Macaca mulatta: one gene and its partners. The protein of the gene in region 1 interacts with the protein of each later gene in a pairwise test. Links are inferred from orthologs where the notes say so. Each region holds a gene or a part of one and is shown in the gene's direction. Other genes may lie near its edges. The genes, in order: LATS1, LDOC1 and MOAP1.

The links.
Region 2: the proteins of LATS1 (region 1) and LDOC1 interact in a two-hybrid assay, tested with the Homo sapiens proteins (2 studies listed by BioGRID and IntAct). The two-hybrid records come from large-scale screens. The link is inferred for Macaca mulatta from reciprocal best matches to the Homo sapiens genes LATS1 and LDOC1.
Region 3: the proteins of LATS1 (region 1) and MOAP1 interact in a two-hybrid assay, tested with the Homo sapiens proteins (2 studies listed by BioGRID and IntAct). The two-hybrid records come from large-scale screens. The link is inferred for Macaca mulatta from reciprocal best matches to the Homo sapiens genes LATS1 and MOAP1.

What each region holds. Positions count from the first base shown.
Region 1 is NC_133409.1:68,222,609-68,230,143, reverse strand, and holds the start of LATS1 (serine/threonine-protein kinase LATS1), read left to right. Parts: upstream 1-3,767; 5' UTR 3,768-3,998; exon of another isoform or gene 3,999-4,160; intron 4,161-7,535. UniProt on the Homo sapiens protein: Negative regulator of YAP1 in the Hippo signaling pathway that plays a pivotal role in organ size control and tumor suppression by restricting proliferation and promoting apoptosis.
Region 2 is NC_133426.1:147,688,117-147,694,980, forward strand, and holds LDOC1 (protein LDOC1), read left to right. Parts: upstream 1-2,728; 5' UTR 2,729-2,822; coding exon 2,823-3,263; 3' UTR 3,264-4,078; downstream 4,079-6,864. UniProt on the Homo sapiens protein: May have an important role in the development and/or progression of some cancers.
Region 3 is NC_133412.1:166,432,589-166,440,123, reverse strand, and holds MOAP1 (modulator of apoptosis 1), read left to right. Parts: upstream 1-2,969; 5' UTR 2,970-3,285; intron 3,286-3,481; 5' UTR 3,482-3,601; coding exon 3,602-4,657; 3' UTR 4,658-5,633; downstream 5,634-7,535. Other genes in the region: LYSET (lysosomal enzyme trafficking factor), read right to left, coding at 1,197-1,608, 2,354-2,451.

The sequences.
Region 1 (7,535 bases):
ATATTTTTTAAAATGTTGTAGCTGCAAAAAAATCATAAGAGTTTTTACCCCTCTATAGGGGTAGAATAAACTTTAAAAAATCTTAGCCAGAGAGGTCCTAGAATCCGTGATACACCAGTAGCAAGGCATACATCTAGCACCCAGATTTGGTTTCTTATACTATATTCCAATAAAAGGAACCAGGGAGCCTTGGGGGAATGGTGATCCCTGAACCGGGGCAAGAAATATACAAGATAACTTGGAGAATTGGGTGTGGTGGCTCACACTTGTAATCCTGCACTTTGGGAGGCCAAAGCGGGCGGATCACTTGAGCTCAGGAGTTCGAGGCCAGCCTGGGCGACATAGGGAGAGCTGGTCTCTACAAAATATACAAAAATTAGGCATGCCAGGCATGGTGGCTCACGCCTGTAATGCCAGCACTTTGGGAGGCTGAGGCGGGCAGATCATCTGAGGTCGGGAGTTCAAGACCAGCCTGACCAACATGGAGAAACCCCTTCTCTACTAAAACTACAAAATTAGCTGGGCATGGTGGTGCATGCCTGTAATCCCAGCTACTCAGGAACGCTGAGGAAGGAGAATTGTTTGAGCCCAGCAGGCGGAGGTTGCGGTGAGCCGAGATGGCACTGCTGCACTCCAGCCTGGGCAACAAGAACAAAACTTGGTCTCAAAAAAAAAAAAAAAAAAAAAAAATTAGTCGTGATGGCCTGCGCCTGTAATCCCAAACTACTCGGATGCTGAGGCAGGAGGATCACCTGAGTCCTGGGGGTTGAAGCTGCAGTGAGCCATAATTATATCACTGCACTTCAACTTGGGTGACAGAGTGAGACCCCATCTAAAAAAAAAAAAAGATTTTGGAGCATCTTGTACTGCCTGAAAATATGAAAGTTCTTTTTTTTTTTTTTTTAAAGGTGAGGTCTTGCTTTGTCACCCAGGCTGAAGTGCAGTGGCTAGATCTAGGCTCACTGCAGCGTTGGCCTCCTGGGCTCAGGCGATCCTTCTGCCTCAGCCTCCTGAGTAGCTGGGACTACAGTTGTGTACCACCACACCTGGCTGATTTATAGAGATGAGGTCTTGCTATGTTACCCAGGCTGGTCTCGAACTCTTGGGCTTAAGTGATTCTCCTGTCTCAGCCTCCAGAAGTGCTGGGATTAAAGGGGTGAGCCACCAAACTGGGCAGAAAGTTCTTTAAAACACACACACACATGCGACAAGCCAACTGAAAGAGCTCCAGTGGCCAAAACTGAAACAACTTGAGCAACAAAATAAATACCCAAAGCATAAAATAGATATCCATGAGGCCATACAGACATAAAGGGTTTTTCTTTTGTTTATTTGTTTGTTTATTTATTTTTATGTAAGATAGACCCTTGCTTTGTCACCCAGACTGGAGTACAGTGGTACAATCTCAGCTCACTGCAACCTCCACCTCCCGAGTTCAAGCGATTCTCCTGCCTCAGCCTCCCAAGTAGCTGGGACTAGAGGCATGCGCCCACCACGGCCGATTTTTTGTATTTTTAGTAGAGACAAGATTTCACCATGTTGGCCAGGCTAGTCTCGAGCTCCTGACTTAGTGATCCGCCCACCTCGGTCTCCCAAAGTGCTAGGATTATAGGTGTGAACTACCATGCCCGGCCAATAAATGTTTGAATAAATAAATGAAGGAGAAGGGATAAATCTGCAGAATTTCAAATAATGTATTTGAATTATCCACTTTATTTATTTATTTATTTGAGACAGAGTCAAGATGATGGAGCACAACTCCCTTAAGAGTGGGTGGCACATAGTCTGATGTCTTACCCTAAGATTGCATGAATTTCTGGAAGGGTTTATGTTCTCAGGGTCACACTGGTCTCCAGACTTCTTCCATGTACATTGCCCCCTCCTTCCTTTCTAAGGTCACTCAAGCATGAAATCGGACTCTACATCTATTGCTAAAAACAAAAAAGCCCCATTTCCATGAAGCACTGAAGAGTTGAGTAGGCTGAAACTGGACCAAGATCTTCCATCACAATGATATAAAAACCTGCAAATGCGATGGCAGGTATCGCCATTCCCACACACACATCCAGCACCCACAGTAAGTATTTCCCCAACCATCAGCACTCTCCACACCTGCAGTCCCCGCTGCTTTTCATCTCGTCGGTTTGTTCTCTTGCTGATCATTGCACCTCTCCTTTCCCTGCTCTTTCATCTCTCGCCCTACTTCACAGGAGTAAGACTCCTAGTCCTACACAGAGCAATTTACTCAGCTCCCTGAATTATCTAGGAATTTCCCCAAAGATGAGAGTTTGTGGAGATACTTTCCTTTAGGTTTAGAGAGCATTGAATACTATTGGTTGATGACAGAGGTGACAGGATTCTGGGGGCAGTCTGTTCTTCCAGATGCAGAATCCTTTTGGATAGGGCAAGTAGACCTGTGGACATATTAGATTCCTATAATTCATATAATTTTAGGGCTGAAAACGTTTTCATGGGTCACCCTTCCGTTGAAGAAAGTAAGCTCTTTAGTGACCCACCTTGGGTCACATTGTCTACCTTATACAAACTCTGTGCTTGTAGAAAATAGGCTTTCAACCAAATATTCTTGGAACATAATCTTTTTTTTTTTTTTTTTTTTTTTTGAGACGGAGTCTCACTCTGTTGCCCAGGCTGGAGTGCAGTGGCGCGATTTCGGCTCACTGCAAGCTCCACCTCCTGGGTTCACGCCATTCTCCTGCCTCAGCCTCCCAAGTAGTTGGGACTACAGGCGCCCGCCACCACGCCCGGCTAATTTTTTTATTTTTAGTAGAGACGGGGTTTCACCGTGTTAGCCAGGATGGTCTCGATCTGCTGACCTTGTGATCCGCCCGCCTTGGCCTCCCAAAGTGCTGGGATTACAGGCGTGAGCCACCGCGCCCGGCCGGAACATATTTTACCAGGTTTTCACATTTGGATTTCTGGATACAGTAAGTAGCCAGTTACTACTTTAACGTCAGAAAAAGATGTCTTTAATTTTTTTATAGTCTGTAGTAGAAAACTTACGAAAGAAGGTACTTAAAAACGCCAGCTGTATATTTCCTAGAGGAAAAACTGGCAAAGGCGCTCTTCACAAAGGGTAGACGGTACTTTATACATCAAACCCAACGATCCGGTCTCACACTTTACATTCAGTTTAACCATAAGTAAAACCTCTTGTCACACCGTCACCGTTACTCCAATTATGGCAATAACGACCTCCTTCTACGGATGCGGTTGACAGATAAGATCTCTAAACTGCTGCTAATCAATCGGTCCTGGCTCAAGAATTTCTTATCTGCCTGATTCAGAAAATACAGATGCTGGAAGCTCACAGGCTTGTTCGGGGAAAGAACGCTAAGCAAGAATAAAATTTTATTTCAAAGCGCCAAAAATCTCGAATTCTGAGGTCCCACAGCAAGGTTTCCCAGAGCGACTCACAGTTGTTCCCTTGTGAGAACGTAGCTCCGTGAAATGCGCATCCCTACTCGGTCCAGAGAAATAGATCAATGGGAAAAAGGATTGAATCAACAGGAGAGAGCCTTAACCCACGGCCGCGGGCGAGTAGTCTGGGCAGGGGCAGGTGGGAGCAACGTGGGGCGACGCTCACGAACGATCAGAGCGGCGGGCGACGCAACGAGGCCCGGAGGCCGCTGGCTGTGCGCTCCCTCGCAGCAGCCGGGCGGGCAGAAGCCCCCAGTCCTCGGCCCCCGCGCAAGCGACGCCGGGAAATGCCCACATCCGGGAAACCTGCAGCGGAGTGCGGCGGCGGCGACACTGAGTGGAAGGCAAAATGGCGGCGGCGGCAGTGTCCTGGTGTTAAGGGGAGAGCCAGGTCCTCGCGACCCCCGCGACGGGTCGCGCTGGCCCGCGGCAGCCGGCCCGCTCCTCTCCCCGCTCTGCCCCACCAGGGATACTTGGGGTTGCTGGGACGGGCTCCGGCCGCCTCGGCGTCCGCCCTCAGGCCCGTGGCTGCTGTCCAGGAGCTCTGCTCTCCCCTCCAGGTAGGTCCCGGGCCGGCGTAGCGGGTGCTCTCCTCCCTTGCTCGAGTTGGCGGGGCGGTGGCCGCCGGGGCCCACGCCCATCCCCGCTGGCGAGGGTCCAGAGGTTGCTGTGGACTGGCGGGCAGAGCCGGCCCGCTCCGGGCCTGACTTGGCTGGTTGCATTGACCCGAGCTGAGCCCTGCCCTGGGGAAGCGAGGGTTGGCCGCGCCCGGTGCTGCAGGAAGAGCCCCAGGCTTTTCGGCCTCGAAGGTGCAGGTTTGGCTGGGTAGAGCCTGTCTTGCTGGCTGCCTTGCGCCGACGGTCTCCCACCCCACCCCCAACACGCTAGTCGGCGGTGTCCAGGAGGGAAGGAAAGGGAAAGGTGGTTCTGAAGGAAAATTGCAGTAAAAGGGCTACAGTTCTTTGAATCCTAGAGGGCCGTGATCCTGGGTATACCTTGGAGAAATCCTTGGAGTCTCTTCTGTCTAGTTCAGTGTGATTTTAGGTTACTGTTCTTAGTTGAAAGTGGTGGGAAAGATGGAGAAGTCTTTATGGAGTAGCAGTGTGTATATAAATACAGCAAATGAAAGAACGACAATTAAGGGAACAGTGACTCTCAGATGACTTGATTTATCACTGTTCTGACTTCTCTGTCAATTTCTAAGGGAACAAAATTTAATGTTTGCCAACTTATATGTTAATACGACTTTTAAAACATGTATTGTCCTCCAGAAGTTATTCATAAATCTAGTGAACAATAAGTATAATCTCATGCACAGAAGTATATTGTGTAACTCCAGTTTTGGAAATGGATTTGAATGTTAGCGATCATGAAACTTGTCAGACCTTTATGAATTATTTATTGAAGGTTAAAATTTTTTATCAAATTTCCTCCATGAGGAAGAAAAGCTAGGACATTATAATTGGAGTGAATGTTCTCTGCTACGAAAACGAAGCTTATCTCTGACGGTAAAGTAGGGTAGTTGATTCCCTAAGGCAGTGGAGGAATTTGATTGAACAGTAAAAGAAGTAGCACTGTGTTAGTCCAGTTGGCTGCTACTGCAAGAAACTAGATCATGGTCCATGCTTGGAATGGTGCATTCTGTGCCTAAATATTGATTAAATATGTCTTGCTGCTCACCAAAAAATACTTCTACTACATTTTTAATGTATAATATCTGGCTTTCATTGTATGGGTCGTTTTTATTTTTGTTTTGTTTTTATTGCAAGTCCTTGTTGTTCTGTATAAATAGTCTTTGGAACGGTTCTAACCCTGGTTGTTTAGTTATTTTAGATGTTTTATTTATATTAATGGGAGATTGTTATACATCACAAAAGTTATTTAGTCATTGAATAACATTTTCACCAAGTAGAAACAGCAATCATTTTTCAGCATGAAGATACAGTGTTGCTTTCACTTTTGATCTGACAATTATTAGAAAGTGAACTGAAGAAAATATCAGTATGCAGTTTCCTTTAAAGATGGGAACTCGCTATCTTGCCTGTGCTGGATTCCAACTCCTGGGCTCCAGCAATCCTCCACCACAGCCTCTCAAGTAGCTGGGACTACAGGTGCACTACTGCACCCAGCCAGGGTACTTTTCTGATAAACTTAATTCAACCCAAGTTAACACTTTGAAATCTTATGTAATGGTACCATTTTTTTCCCCTAAGTTGGACAGACTAATCAGTGATACTTGTTTGTTGATGTTTGTATTTTTGATGAGGGTCTGAACTTTTTTTTAAAAAAAATGGCGATTTGTCATACCCAGGCAGTTTGATTCCAGAGCTCTTACTTTAACCATGAGGTTAAAAGTCATTGAAAGTTATGGAGTAGGTAGGTGACATGATCAGAATTGTTTATTAAGATGAATCTGGCCCCATTGTAGTGTGGGTTAAAAAGGTGAACAGTTTTGCTTTGAATAATTATTTTAAAAATTCTCTTTGCCTAGTAATAATTTGAATTTTCACATGACATAGCAGCAAAGATTATTGAGATTTAGTAATGCCAGTATTAACCATACCTTGTTGTGGGGATTATAAAATTAGTATAACTTTCTAGAAGGCAGTCTGACAATAAATATTAGAATTTTAAATAAGTATTCTCTTTGATCCAGCAATTCCACTTCTGGGAATTTATTTTAAGGAAAATGCTCAGCAATCTGTGCACAAGAATTTTTATTGCAGCAATTTTTTTTTTGTTCACAATTTTTGTTATGTGCAAGGAATAGGCTATATATATTATATATATGTTCATTTTATTAAACTATGAAGCATAATAAAATGAACATCCATGAACTTACCACCTGTCCTCAGAACTAGAATATTACCAGTATAATTGAAGTTATCAGTTTGCAGTATTATTTTACATTAGCAAAGAAATGAGGAACAACCTAAATGTCCATCAGTCAGGGATTTATAAATAATAGTACATCTGGCCAGACGTGGTGGCTCACGCCTGTAACCAGCACTTTGGGAGGCCAAGGTGGGCGGATTACGTGAGGTCTCGAGTTCGAGACCAGCCTGGCCAACATGGTGAAACCCCATCTCTACTAAAAATACAAAAATTAGTTGAGTGTGGTGGCGCACGCCTGTAGTCCCAGCTACTTGTAAGGCTGAGGCAGGAGAATCACTTGAACCCGGGAGACGGAGGTTGCAGTGAGCCGAGATGGCACCACTGCACTCTAGCCTGCGACAGAGTGAGGCTCCGTCTCAAAAAAATAAATAAATAAAATAAAAATAGTACATATACATGATGAAGTTCAATATCAAGGTATTTATTTATTTTTTGAGACGGAGTCTCTCTCTGCTGCCCAGGCTGGAGTACGGTGGCCGGATCTCAGCTCACTGCTAGCTTCGCCTCCCGGGTTTACACCATTCTCCTGCCTCAGCCTCCCGATTAGCTGGGACTACAGGCGCCCGCCACCTCGCCCGGCTAGTTTTTTGTATTTTTAGTAGAGACAGGGTTTCACCGTGTTAGCCAGGATGGTCTCCATCTCCTGACCTCGTGATCCGCCCGTCTCGGCCTCCCAAAGTGCTGGGATTACAGGCTTGAGCAACCGCTCCCGGCCAATATCAAGGTATTTAAAGGAATGAGGTTGAACTATCATATTTTCTCAGTTCTGAAATGCCACTAACTCTAAGATAAGCCGTCTATTTAGTAGCAATTTTTTAGCGGGCAGAAAGTAAACATAAAGATTTTATTAATAATCAGTAGCATACATTTATTCGTTCAATTGTATACCATTTTCATCACAATAAAGTTTGAGTCTCAGCCTTATTCACATTCAGAATCTAGGATTCTTCTGAATTACTTTGGGTAGTTAATGCAACATCATGATAACAGGCTGCTTTTCGTAATGCTAGTTAATTATCTTAACCTATGTTGTCTTTATGATTGTGTGTATAATTTTAAGGTATAATGAAGAATACTGGGATGTTGCTTTCCTTTTTGCTTAGTTTTTTTTTTTTTTCTTCTAATTAAACAGCTTCCTCTGAAGATAACTGCAAAAGTTTTGACAGATTTTTAGTCTCTTACCTTTGAAAATTCTGTGATCT
Region 2 (6,864 bases), on another chromosome or scaffold:
CTACTTTCCACATTTCCCATCCCTCCCCTCAATCCTTACACTGAACATTTATGGAACAACTAGTAAACACTGCCAGGTGCTGAAGATAAAATTAAGAGTGAGAGTGGATCCCTGCCTGCCAACTTCTCAGGTGGCGGAGCTGATAGCACAGGAGAGGCCAAAAGCTCACATTCTTCCTATCTCTTTTTTTCACTGCCCATCCTTTCACCAGTGTCATCTTCCCCAGGTCCCTGCTTGGGTCTTGGCCCTATTTCTCGGCTCTTTCCCAGTCTCCTACTCCCATGGATGATCATTCAATTCTATCCTAAAGGATTGAATTGAACTTCTTTAAAAATCTATTCAGCCAGTTTTATTACATCAGTCATTGTTTCACAATCGAGACTGATTCATGGTCAGAGATAAAATACACTGAACAATTTTTTTTTTTTTTCTGTTTCTCTTTTTTCTTTTTTCTGAGACGTTGTTTTGCTCTTGCTGCCCAGGCTGGAGTGCAATAGTGTGATCTCGGCTCACTGCAACCTCTGCCTCCTGGGTTCAAGTGATTTTCCTGCCTCAGTCTCCCAAGTAGCTGGGATTACAGGCACCTGCCACCACACCTGGCTAATTTTGTATTTTTTGGAAAGACGGGGTTTCTCCATGTTGGTCAGCCTGGTCTCGAACTCCTGACCTCAGGTGATCTGCCCCCCCCCCCGCCCTCGGCCTCCCAAAGTGCTGGGATTACAGGCATGAGCCACCATGCCCAACCTTACACTTAACAATTTAAAGAGTATTATTTAACACTTTGTGCAGCCACAACTTCTAATTTTTATCTCAGCATCTGCACTCTGAGATTATATTACACGCCAAACATTAATGAAGCCTCTACTCTGGGCCAGAACTTATCTAGACATTAGGGATAGACCAGATAGCAAAAGCAGTGTTTCTTTGACTTATATATTCTAAAATGGAAGCAGATGATGAGCAAAGTCCTATATATACATACGACATGGTGGCTAGTAGCACAATAAATGTTATGTAGATAAATGAAGCAGAGTAAAGGGTTACAGATTGGTGGCAGAGAACAGGGTGCTCTGATAGGTCCAGTGGTCAGAAAAGTTCTCTCTGAAAGCAGTAGGAGGAGTCAGGCAGCCAACTGGGATGACATCCTTGCAAAGGAGAAGGGATAGAAGGTGCAAAGGCTATGAAGCCAGAACTGCTTGATGGGTGTGAGAATCAGCAAGGAAGACAGTGATGAGAGCACAGCAGAAAATGGGAAGAGGCACAGGATAGAAGGAGGGGCCTTGTAGGCCTTGGCTGCAACTTTGCTCTTTATTCTGAGGTGAAACTACTGGAGGATTTTGAGCAGGGGCGTGAAGGGATCTAACTGTTTTTTGTTTGTTTGTTTGTTTGTTTTTGTTTTTTTTTTTAGAGATGGAGTCTCGCTTGGTAACCAAGGCTGGAGGAGTGCGCTGGCGCTATCTCGGCTCACTGCCACCTCCGCCTCCCGGGTTCAAGCGATTCTCCTGCCTTAGCCTCCTGAGTAGCTGGAACTACAGGCACCTGCCACCACGCCCCGCTAATATTTTGTATTTTTAGTAGAGACAGGGTTTCACCCTGTTAGCCAGGATGATCTCGATCTCCTGACTCGTGATCCGCCCTCCTTGGCCACCCAAAGTGCTAGGATTACAGGAGTGAGCCACCGCGCCCGATTCCTGTGGCTACTCTATGGAGAATATACTATAGGAAGAAAAGAGTGAAAGCTAAGTGATTAGTTGCAGCAGTCTGGGTGAGAAAGGCTGGGGATCAGGGTGGCAGTGGTAGAAATGACAAGTCATGACTGAATTGGCAATATATTTGAAAGCAGAGCCAACAATTCCTGTCGGCTCTAGGGATCCGTTTAAAGTAGAAAAACAAAATTATTTAAAAACACAAACATCTTAACAGTTCATTTTTAAGTACAGAATAAAACCCAGTGGCCAAAGGCACTAATAGCAGGACAAGAAATAGAGAATCAAAGATATGTGGGATGCCTGCAATTGATTATTGGATGCTGATTTTGCAAAACTTCTTTATATCCTGCTACTTAGGTTTGTTTTTTTTTGTTTGTTTGTTTTAAGGGAGTATGCCATATTATTCCCCTACTAAAGAAGTCACTGTTTAAATACTGCCTTTTTCATGAAAGGCAGGAACCCCTGAAGGTCTTCATGATCCTAAAAGGAAGTGTGAGTCCCACAGTGCAGCCAGCAGTGTCAATACTTCTCTGAGTGAGATTTAAACAAGAAAGAAAATGTGTTAATAAAACATCACGCCAAGAGAATCTAGTGGCCACAGACCCACGAAGGAACAACTGAGTTGTGAGAGTTGCCTAGGTAGAAGGGTGGCTAATCCTTTCAGTTTGAACAAATTTGCCTTCTCTGAGACCAAACTCAGCGCTCGCCAGGTCCTCTGCTAACGCAGGCCCCACAACCAGGAGCTAGGGGAGCCTACCCCAGCCTTTAACTGCCCGCCTAGAGACCTACCACAAGCCGGTGGTTCAGCGACCCAATGCATCCTTTTCCTGGCCACGCCCTCTTTGTCTAAACCCTTCCCATCCCGGCCACGCCCCCACGCAGCCGCGGCCGCCAGTCTGGCCACGCCCCTCCCGCGCCGCGCCGGCGCACCATCCGTCCGAATGGCCTCGTGGGCGGAGCTTGCGTAGCCTCCCGGACCCCGGCGCGCACCGCCCCCCGCCCCCAGCCCCTGGCCATCGAGCGTCTCCGTGGACACGCACTTCCTGCGAGGCCTCCGTGCGCACCTTGGCCGAGCCGAACCGAGCCGAGCCCTGTCCTTCCAGGCTGTTCGCAATGGTGGATGAGCTGGTGCTGCTGCTGCACGCGCTCCTGATGCGGCACCGCGCCCTGACCATCGAGAACAGCCAGCTCATGGAACAGCTGCGGCTGCTGGTGTGCGAGAGGGCCAGCCTGCTGCGCCAGGTACGTCCGCCGAGCTGCCCGGTGCCCTTCCCCGAAACGTTTAATGGCGAGAGCTCCCGGCTCCCTGAGTTTATCGTGCAGACAGCGTCTTACATGCTCGTGAACGAGAACCGATTCTGCAACGACGCCATGAAGGTGGCATTCCTAATCAGTCTCCTCACCGGGGAAGCCGAGGAGTGGGTGGTGCCCTACATCGAGATGGATAGCCCCATCCTAGGTGATTACCGAGCCTTCCTCGATGAGATGAAACAGTGCTTTGGCTGGGATGACGACGAAGACGACGACGACGAGGACGAAGAGGATAATTACTAGGCCCTCGGGCCTCGGGGGGAGGGCCCTGCACGCCGTCACCCCCTCCCCGCAGCCCTCACCCCGCCAGGAGCCAGTGCTCTCCCCCTTGCCCTCCGGTCCCCTTCCCTACCCGCGCCCGTCTGCTCTTTCTTCATTTCTCCGTAGTGCTTGTCTTTGTTCCAGGAATAGTGCTCCAGTTACCTGCTGCTGGGGTTGGGGCTGGAGCCTCACTCACTCGGAAGTGCTTGGAAGTGTCATCTACCCTGGCCATCCCGGGGATCCCTCCCCTGCTAATCTGAACTGTGTCCTGAACCCCAGCTATTGGCCAGGCCCCTGTTACAAACTGCGCAGACCACCCATAGCCCTGCTGCTGCCACCTGCCCTGCTGCCAGGCTTACATCTGCCCAGAGAACTATGCTGCCACTTCACATCCACTCACCACATCCCACCTACAGACTACCGCCTTTCGAGATCAGGACCAACCTGGAAAATGCCAGAGTTGGCTCTGCCTCTTCGGACATTGATTTGGACAGCTCACCAACCCCTGAAGAGGCCAGTCATTCAGCCTGGTTAGTTTTCTACCTACTCCGAGTGTCCTCCCCTGCCATACCAGATTGCTGCAGGGGCGCGGTGTGCCTGACAGCCAAATTGTTGATATTTCTTTTTTCCTATGCACTGGTTTTACACAGCTGTCATTTTTCTTTCAAAATTGCAGCAGTCCCACAGATGTATGCATTTGGACAAATAGTACTAAAAACAAAACAAACAAGCACTCAGCCCAGCTCCTCAATACTACCTGGAAAAAGCATTGGCATTATTTTCAATAAATATCAAGCACTAAAAAACGAAATGATTGTCTTTTAATAGTTAAGTGCTATCACTGACCTCTAGAACTGTCACTGTGACTACCGTTATTCCCATGGAAATCAGGGAATACAACCAATCCTAGGAATCCCTGCTGTCAACTCCAGGCTGCTGGGGACAGCTACCTCAGGGCTTTGTCAGGGTTCTGATGCTTCCTTCACCAACGCATTTCTTAAAGCCCTGGCAAAGGGTGTGTTCTCTGGGTCCTCCAGGGTGGCATGGGTAAGGGTTGGCTGAGCAGATGGCAAAGAGGGCAGTATTAATAATTAGACCGTAACAACAGGCATAAACCAGGACATATATATGTATTGCTCCTAATTCTCTGAGCTTTTGGATTCCTTAATATTGTGCCAGGGAAGTTCTGCCCCTTAATCCTTATTGCCTATATGCAGCTGTTGAGTTCAGGCTCCAGAGAGCCAACATAGTACATTGTCACTTTCAAACTCCAAATAGCCAACATGTCACTTACAGGTGCTCTAGCTAACATTAAGTCCCAGATCCTGGGCAAGTGCATCCATAAAGATATACCCTGATCTTAACAAACATTTCATCCTCCTTGGGCAGACATCCTTAGAATTTCCACTCATAGATGTGTCCCAGATTCCTCCCTATGGAAATTAGCAAGATGCTTGGTTATCTCTTAAATCAGACTTTGTACTGCTATCTGGGGGCTATGCTGAGATCTCTGGGCCTGGAGGGTTCAGAGCAGTGAAGGGGGTGGCTGCTGAGAAGAAACTGCATACCTGTGTGAGGCCATTGCCCCGGGTTAAGTCATTGAAATGTTTAATGCAGAGCAGCTTGGTTGGGGATTTGAGAGGACTACCTCTTAGAAAGGTTTAGGAGGATGTGAGGGGTTCAGAGTTCTCATTTATATCTGTCCAGATGTCCTCCCTCATTGTACCATGTCTGGAGCCAACTTCACTTTATAACCTTTAATTAATTTAGATAACACATTTCCTTACTGTTTAAGGCCTTTTGAGGCAAGATATTTCATTTGTACTGGTAAACCTCAGTGTTGATTAAATGAGATATGGGGCTTCATATTAATCACCTGATAGGTGTGGATTATATGAGATCATACCCATGCAGCATTTAGAACTTTCCCTGCTACATGGTGAGCACTCAGTAAACCATGGGCTGTTACTCCTGGGCCTGGGGACAGAATTCTCAGGAAGCAAGTCTCTGGCTCTGAGCGTGGCTTTAGTAGGAAAATGTCAGCGTAAAGAGGAGCAGAGCAGGTTCAGCGATAATGGAAATGAGAGCATGATAAGACCCCATTTACTTTTTGAAGTCTTATATGAAGCAAGAAACAAAGCTGTTTACGTGGTGAACAGGCAAAGTTCAGGGTAGGAATTATATCTCACACCTAGGATAGCTGTTTCTGGAGGGTGGGGACAGGGGTGAGTATGACTTAATAAAAGAGGCCAAGGCTTGGGTGGAAATGAGATCTGGGGCTCTTCGGGAAGCTGCTGCCTCCAAATCTGAATCAAGGAGACACCTGGTTATTTAGAATTCACTGATCACTTCTCCCAGTCTCCTTGGAAAATATACAAAAACCCTTGGAATACAGAGAGTTTATATTTGAGACATAATATGTGTGAGGCCAGATAATTACACTTTCTTCCTGACTAGAAAGGCCTTGAATTGGGGATAAATGGGGAAAAGTGAGCAAGATCTAAAAGGTAAAGGATCCAGTGAGACTAAAAATCATTTATTCCAAACTGATTATGGCCCAGTTATGCTGAGTGGAGTTATATCATTGAATAAAATGTCATCTCTGCCTTCATAGTTAGTCCAGTCTGCTACTTTTACTGTGCCTTGGGCCAGAACTTCGATGATTAGTTACAGGAAAGGGCCAGGAAGAGAATCTGGGCTGTGATTAGATCTAGGAATGACCTTTCTGGGGTGGAAGTTGAGGACATATGAGTATGTGTTCTGTGGAGGAAGGGAGGGTCAGTAAGGATGCCATGCCGAGGCAGCATCTGAATGGCATCTGGGAGAACTAGGCCAAGGAGCTTCTGTGATCTGAAATGTACATTTCCTGAGTATGTGTGCATGTGCACATGAGCTTGCTGTGACCCTGTATGTGTGTGCTGTGTGTGTGTGTGTGTATGTGTTAGGTGATGTCCTTCATGCATCATGGACGAACAGGTTATGCTGTGAGATGCACAAAAGGAAAGTGTGAGATTCTGGTTACTCTGGGGACAGATTCTGCAATAAAAGTGCAGATATTGGCAAGGGCTCCATCACCCAGGGAGGAATTCCTGATAATGGCATAAAGCATTGCAAAAAAGAAGGAAGAAGTAGAAGTATGTCTAAGGATGGAAGTGCCACTTCTATCAAAACTATTAAAAATAGGTAGGAATGCTGAACAAATATGAACTTCAGACTCCTGAATTCTCATTTTGGGTATAATAGACTTGAAATGGCCACTGAAATTATACTATCAATGAAATGAAATTAGTCATATTAGAGGTCATAATCATTTAATCATATTAAATATACCAATATATCTTTGGACTTTTCTATTCATTTGAATAGATAAGCACTGCCATCTATTAAGTCCGTGTTGCTGTATCCTGCAGAATGGTATATAAAGCTAGAGGTACTTTATGCACATGTATATTTGATTATTTTCTGCTATTAAAACATAGCTAAAACCTCAGTAATTTGGAAGTAGGCAGATTAGAGGGAGAAGTCTTGTTGAAATTAGTGGGATATTTGCATTTTTAAAAATATGCTTAAATTTTTTTCTTTT
Region 3 (7,535 bases), on another chromosome or scaffold:
TGAGAACAGCCTGGCCAACATGCTGTAACCCTCTCTACTAAAATAACAGAAATTAGCCAGGCGTAGGGGCAGTCACCTGTAATCCCAGCTACTCAGGAGGCTGAGGCAAGAGAATCTCTTAAACCGGGGAGGTAGAGGTTGCAGTAAGCCAAAGGTTTCAGTGAGCCGAGAATGCACCACTGCACTCCATCCTGGGTGACAGAGCAAGGCTCCGTCTCAAAAAAAATAATAATTTTAATTAATTAATTAATAACCTGCTTATTTTCATTGAACACATTGTTTCCATCTTCTATTTGTAAGTTATTTCTAGCCTTTCAACATTTACCATTTAGTCTCTTCCCAAATAGTTTTCTAAACTAGTAGCAATGGGGCACATGTTCTCAGGGCCTCCTGAGGCTGTGTCACAAGCCATGGAAAAAAAAATTTTTTTAATTAAAAATAGCTGGGCATGGGAGCCACGCCAGTAATCCTAGCACTTAGGGAGTGCTAGAGGGGAGGAAAGCTTGAGCCCAGGAGTTCGAGACCTGCCTGGGCAACGTGGCGAGACCTCATTCTCCACAAAAAAGAAAAATATAAAAAATAAAACCATTAAAAGCACTAATAATAATTTAGCTAGCCATTACCAAGAGGAAGAACAAATTCTGCTTATCAAGACAGCCATTACCTTAATACTTTTTTTAGCAATGTCTCATAAGCTGACAGCAAGTATAAACAGCTGGCTTAGCTGCAATAGAATGAATCGGTGTTTTAAGTGTGAAGAATTTAAAGCAAGCCAAGTAATTGTATAAAATTTAAATTTTATGATCATGTCTGGACCTTTTTACACTTAACACAATGGAAATGTTCATATTCATTTTTTTTCCCCAAAGGAAAAATTTCTGAATCATCACTATGTTGCACAGTAGAATAGAAATATGAATTCAGGTACTCAGTCAAGTTTCTAAAGAATGCAAATAACAGACACGATTTAACTTCCAAAATCTGAAGTCATCAACATGATTTTGTAGTACTCTATCTCAGGTTTTACCTAAAAATTCATTATTATTCAGATAAAGATAGCCCCCTGATCACATGTTTTTAAAAAGCCTCTGCCCCACCACAACTTCCTGAGATCTGTGAAGAAACTGCAGTCTTGTGATCAGACTCCATATAGGACTGGCAGTTTTGTAATCGTAGGGAAAAAACGGTGACTGATTTTATGTGTCAATCAGTTGTAGTCTGCTGATCTGATTAGAAGCCTTGACAAATGCCTGGTGGCGATTGCAAATAACTGCCAAGCATATAGGGATGATACAGTAGCCCACTGTTTTGGGATCAGCTCTTGTACAAGAGTATAGGAACAAAAACATCTGTAAGTAAGGTACCAGAAAAATAATTGTCCACAACCAAAAAGGCAAGGAGAGTAATCGAGCTTTCAAGGAGTGTGTCCATGTGGTTCCTTCAAGGGGCTCCTCAGGGTGCTGTTGAATGTGTTCCAAGGCCAGCCTATTGTAAGTCTCATTGATTTCAAAAACATAGTAAAATGCTGCTGCACTTGCTAACAGATACAATCCCACTCCAATCCATCCCATCCGCTGACGGAAATTCATCATTCTCCATGCTCTGTGCCTTCAAATTAAAAAAGAAAATACAATTAGGGTCTTGTAGTACTGTCACCGCAACTACTCCAAATGTACTTGCTTTATCTCCAAGAATTCTAGGTCGGGCGCGGTGGCTCACAACTGTAATCCCAGCACTTTGGGAGGCCGAGGCGGGCGAATCACGAGGTCAGGAGATTGAGACCATCCTGGCTAACATGGTGAAACCCTTCTCTACTAAAAATACAAAAAATTAGCTGGGCGTGGTGGCGGGCGCCTGTAGTCCCAGGTACTCGGGAGGCTGAGGCAGGAGAATGGCGTGAACCCGGGAGGCAGAGCTTGCAGTGAGCCGAAATCGCGCCACTGCACTCCAGCCTGGACGACAGAGCGAGACTCCGTCTCAAAAAAATAAAATTAAATTCGAAAGCATCCCACTAACACACTTAAGATTTAAAATAATTAAACGCCTATTAAGAAATGTAAAACTTACAGGTTTTGTGTAATAGTTACAATAAAAAAACAAAAACAAAATAACCATTGATTTCAGTATATACTGAGTTCTGCTTTTTAACGGGAATCTCAGAATAAATCACTGCATCCTACTTAAACAGGTCCATAATACCCGCCCTCCAGAAACTGGAATTAAACTAGTTTCCCACAGCACTTTTCACTTTGACAGGTGAAACACTTTCGGCTTTACAGTACTGCTTCAGATGTGAACGCGGGGTGCTACAAGTCAAGCCCCCAAGTTAAGACAGTAACTCCTAAGCACTTACAGTGGTCCCGAAAATCTTCCTGTTCCCACGGCAAGCGTTAAAGAGTCATTCAGCTCTGAATAATCGGGTGGCTTTGGCATTTCAGAGAAAGCCACCATAAAATAAATCCCCTGGGTCACCCGGCTAGGAGAAAGGTGAGCGCCGCCAGCCTGGAGCACCAGCTACTAGTGATTAAGAACGGCGTGACTGCGGCGGGTCACGCGCGGCCCGGCCCCCGTCGCCGCCGCCGGAGACCCGCTATGGGGACCTGACCCGGCCGGGAGGCGTCCCCGCCAAAAGGGCCTCCAGGCGGCCGGCCCCGCCCCCTGCCGCGCTGCAGCGCCGGCACGCAGCGACCAGGGTTGTGCTGACTGCGCCAGGCCCGGGCCTCGCAGCCCTGCAGCGTCGCGAGCCCAGCGCCAGTCAGCGGCCGCCGGCAGAGCCTGCCTGCAAAGCTAAGGTCCCGGATCTCACCTTCCTGTCCCGGGTGGCCAGCCCGCCCGCCGTCCCGGATGCCGCCGCAGTCCGGGCTTCCGGCTCGGGCCGGAAGCGCGCGCGCCCCGCCCCCCAGAGGCCCGCCCCCCCTCATGACGTCAGATCGCCCCCGCCCGCCGCGCAGCTTCCCCCAGCGAGACCCAAACAGCTGGAATCCGCGCTGGAGCTGGGGGTCTAGCTGCGCGGGTGGCGGCACGTCCCTTCAGGTGGGCGGCTGTCTGGGTCTGGCGACTCAGCGCTCCTCAGCCTTTCCTCCCGGTGCCCGATCGCGACTGTCATCGCCCGATCACTTCTTGCTACGGAGAGCATCACAAGCACCTGGAGGACCGGCATCAGTCGCTTTGGCCCCTGAGTGTCCGTCCGAGCCTAGGGGAGCCCGCCCTCCCGCACCTCGTCGGGGCCCGGCCAGGCACCTCCGCCGCCGGCGCACGGACGCGGGCACCGAGCACTAGATTACGGTGAGTGGAAGCTGGCCCGGAGAGGCCCTGCAGGCCCGACATCCGCCAGGCACCAGGGCTGGGAGGGGTGAGGGGCGCGCGCCGCAGTGCGGCGGCCCTGGAGTCGCCGCGGGGGGCAGGGCGCGCGGGGCTTGGGGCCTGCACGCGTGCCTTGGACGTTGGCACCCTTAGCTAACCTGTCTGCTGTGTTTTGCAGGCTGCTGGACCTCGGCACGTTGACGAGATTTCCCTGAGGTACCGCGGAGGATTACTTTGAATTGCAGTGGCCGCCTGTGGTCTGGAATATTTAGAACTTAAGTGTATTATTTCGGGCACCATGACTTTGAGGCTTTTGGAAGACTGGTGCAGGGGGATGGACATGAACCCTCGGAAAGCGCTGTTGATTGCCGGCATCTCCCAGAGCTGCAGTGTGGCAGAAATCGAGGAGGCTCTGCAGGCTGGTTTAGCTCCCTTGGGGGAGTACAGACTGCTTGGAAGGATGTTCAGGAGGGATGAGAACAGGAAAGTAGCCTTAGTAGGTCTTACTGCGGAGACTAGTCACGCACTGGTCCCTAAGGAGATACCGGGAAAAGGGGGTATCTGGAGAGTGATCTTTAAGCCCCCTGACTCTGATAATACATTTTTAAGCAGATTAAATGAATTTTTAGCGGGAGAGGGCATGACAGTGGGTGAGTTGACCAGAGCTCTTGCACATGAAAATGGCTCCTTAGACCTAGAGCAGGGCATGATCCCAGAAATGTGGGCCCCTATGTTGGCACAGGCATTAGAGGCTCTTCAGCCTGCCCTGCAATGCTTGAAGTATAAAAAGCTGAGAGTGTTCTCGGGCAGGGAGCCTCCAGAACCAGGAGAAGAAGAATTTGGACGCTGGATGTTTCATACTACTCAGATGATAAAGGCGTGGCAGGTGCCAGATGTAGAGAAGAGAAGGCGATTGCTAGAGAGCCTTCGAGGCCCAGCACTTGATGTTATTCGTGTCCTCAAGATAAACAATCCTTTAATTACTGTCGATGAATGCCTGCAGGCTCTTGAGGAGGTATTTGGGGTTACAGATAATCCTAGAGAGTTGCAGGTCAAATATCTAACCACTTATCAGAAGGATGAGGAAAAGTTGTCGGCTTATGTACTAAGGCTGGAGCCTTTGTTACAGAAGCTGGTACAGAGAGGAGCAATTGAGAGAGATGCTGTGAATCAGGCCCGCCTAGACCAAGTCATTGCTGGCGCAGTCCACAAAACAATTCGCAGAGAGCTTAATCTGCCAGAGGATGGCCCAGCCCCTGGTTTCTTGCAGTTACTGGTACTAATAAAGGATTACGAGGCAGCTGAGGAGGAGGAGGCCCTTCTCCAGGAAGTATTAGAAGGGCATTTCACCTGAGTCTCAGGGAATCACGAAGGGATATGGCAATGAGTAGAGCATGAAGGTAGAACAGTCTATATACTCTTTGACACATACAATCCCTACCTTGTGCTGCCAAGTAACTCATTTTTGTGCAATTCTCAGTATAAGCCCTTTGTCGTTTCTATGCCTATTTAAAGTCTCCTAAAGGTGTAATTGACTAGGAAGGATGTAGTTCTACACTGCTGTTTACCTATTTAAATTCATCCTTGTGAATATCTTTGTTGTTGTTGTAGGGACAGAGTCTCGTGCTCACCCAGGCTGGAGTGCAGTGGCGCGATCTTGGCTCACTGCACCCTCCACCTCCCGGGTTTAAGCTATTCTCCTGCCTCAGTCTCCCGAGTAGCTGGGACTACTCGTGCCACCACGCCCAGCTAAGTTTTGCATTTTCAGTAGAGACAGGGTTTCACCATGTTGGCCAGGCTAATTTCGAACTCCTGACCTCGAGTGATCCACCTGCGTCAGCCTCCGAAAGTGCTGGGATTACAGGTGTGAGCCACTGCGCCCGGCCTCATCCCTGTGAATTTCTTATTGTACAAAAGTTCTTTCACTACCTGTGTGCAGTGCTCTGAGAGGACAGACAAGGCTCGGGTGTATATGCTGACCAGATCTCATTGAAATATCAGCTTGTTTGGTACGAGGCACAAGTGTAGCATGTCACATGTGATCATGTTGGATCATTGACAGTTTTTAGGTATGTATTGACCTACATTTATGATGAAGATCCTGAGTGGAGGTTAAGATACTAAGTTATTTTCTGTATGAATCAAAATTATATTGATTCTGTGCAATCAAAACAAAAGGCGGAATAGAATGCTGAGATTGGTTAAGTTTCAATGACCATCTTTACAGATTTCTGCTATGTGTCATCAAAACATCTAGTTCTGAGTAACATTTTCACGATTGTTATAAAATTATAGATGTGAGCTTCTAAAATAAAGGAATGGTAATAAAATGACGTTGTCTGTTTTGTTTATATCAAGGTTCCAGGAGAGATTTCATTTGAATAAAGAGTTCCCAAAGCATGAATCTGCAAACCACTGGACCTACACAGACTTAGTTCCTTGAACTCTTTCCTCTTGGTGCTCAGGGGTAGGAAACTGTTTTCTAAGTGAAGAGAGCTTCCACTGAAGCAGTAAAACAATGGGGTGAAACAAGACAGTGCACAAATTAGTGCAAGTAGTGCAGATGTATCAGTGTGTCAAATTTGGAGGGAGAAGGAAAGAAATGAACATTGCATGCTGCTGCTTGGAAGATTGGACTAAAAGTTTCTCCGTTTACTCTCTTATTTAGTCCTCTTGGAAAAAGGTTGAACAGTATAATCTTAGCACTTTGAGAGGCTGAGGCAGGAAGATTGCTTGAACCCAGGAGTTGGAGACCAGCCTGGGTAATGTAAAAAAAAATTTTTTTAACTAGCCGGGCATGGTGGTGTGCACCTGCAGTCCCTGCTACTCAGGAGGCTGAAGCTGGAGGACTGCTTGAGGCCAGGAGGTCAAGGCTGCAGCATGCCATGATCATACCACTGCACTCCAACCCGGGTGACAGAGCAAGACCCTGTCTTAAAAAAAAAAAAAAAAAAAAAAAAAAATCCTGCAATATAGGAAAACTCAGTTTCACACTTGTGGAAATGGGCACAAAAGTTTAGAAATTTGGTGTGGTGGCTCACACCTGTAATCCCAGCACTTTGGGAGGCTGAGGCGGGCAGATCACGAGGTCAGGAGATCGAGACCATCCTGGCTAACACGGTGAAACCCCGTCTCTACTAAAAATACAAAAAAATTAGCCAGGCGTGGTGGTGGGCGCCTGTAGTCCCAGCTACTCGGGAGGCTGAGGCAGGAGAATCTCTTGGACCTGGGAGGCGGAGGTTGCAGTGAGCCAAGATCGTGCCACTGCACTCCAGCCTGGGCAAAGCGAGACTCCGTCTCAAAAAAAAAAAAAAAAGAAAAAAAAAAGAAATTCAGTCAAGGTGAAACATCCTTGGGCCAGAATTCTATCCTCTGATCCTCTGTAGTAAGTGTAGTGAGTGATTAGGTCAGAATTCTCTCCTCTTTCTTTCTGCAAGGCCCATATTCTTTCTACTGCCAAGAAAGAGAAGCAATCATCAGGGTATCTATACCCATTAGCCTCACAAGGGAAGCAGGGCAGGCATTGGCTCCATTTCATAAATGTCCATCTTATGTGCATTGCAGGGGAGTACAGTTGACCCTTGAATAACTTGGGGCTTCAGGGAGCCAGCCCACTGCACAATCTGTACATAAGTTTTGATTCCTCAAAAACGTAACTATTATTACTGACTGGAAGCCTTACCAATAACAGAAAGTTGATTAACATATTTTGTATGTTATTTGTATTATATACTATATTAAAGTAAGCTAAAGAAAAAATGTTCTTAAAATTATATGACTGGGTGCAGTGGTTCACACCTGCAATCCCAGCACTTTGGGAGGTCAAGGCAGGTGGATCACTTAAGTTCAGGAGTTTGAGACCAGCCTGGCCAACATGGTGAAACCCACACACACCTGTAACCCCAGCTACTTGGGAAATGAGGCGGGAGAATCGCTTGAACCTGGGAGGCAGAGGTTGCAGTGAGCTGAGATTGCACCACTGCACTCCAGCCTGGGCAACAGAGCGAGACTGTGTCTCAAAAAAAAAAAAATGGGGGAAGAAAATTGTAAGAGAAACTATATTTACAATTCATTAAAGAAGTGCATCATCATAAAGGTCTTCATCCTGGTTGTCATCTTCACATTGAGCAGGCTGAGGGAGAAAAGGAGGGTTGGTCTTGCTGTCTCAGTGGTGGCAGAGACGGAAGAAAATCTGTGGATAAGTGGACCTGTGTAGTTCAAGCTCCTGTTGC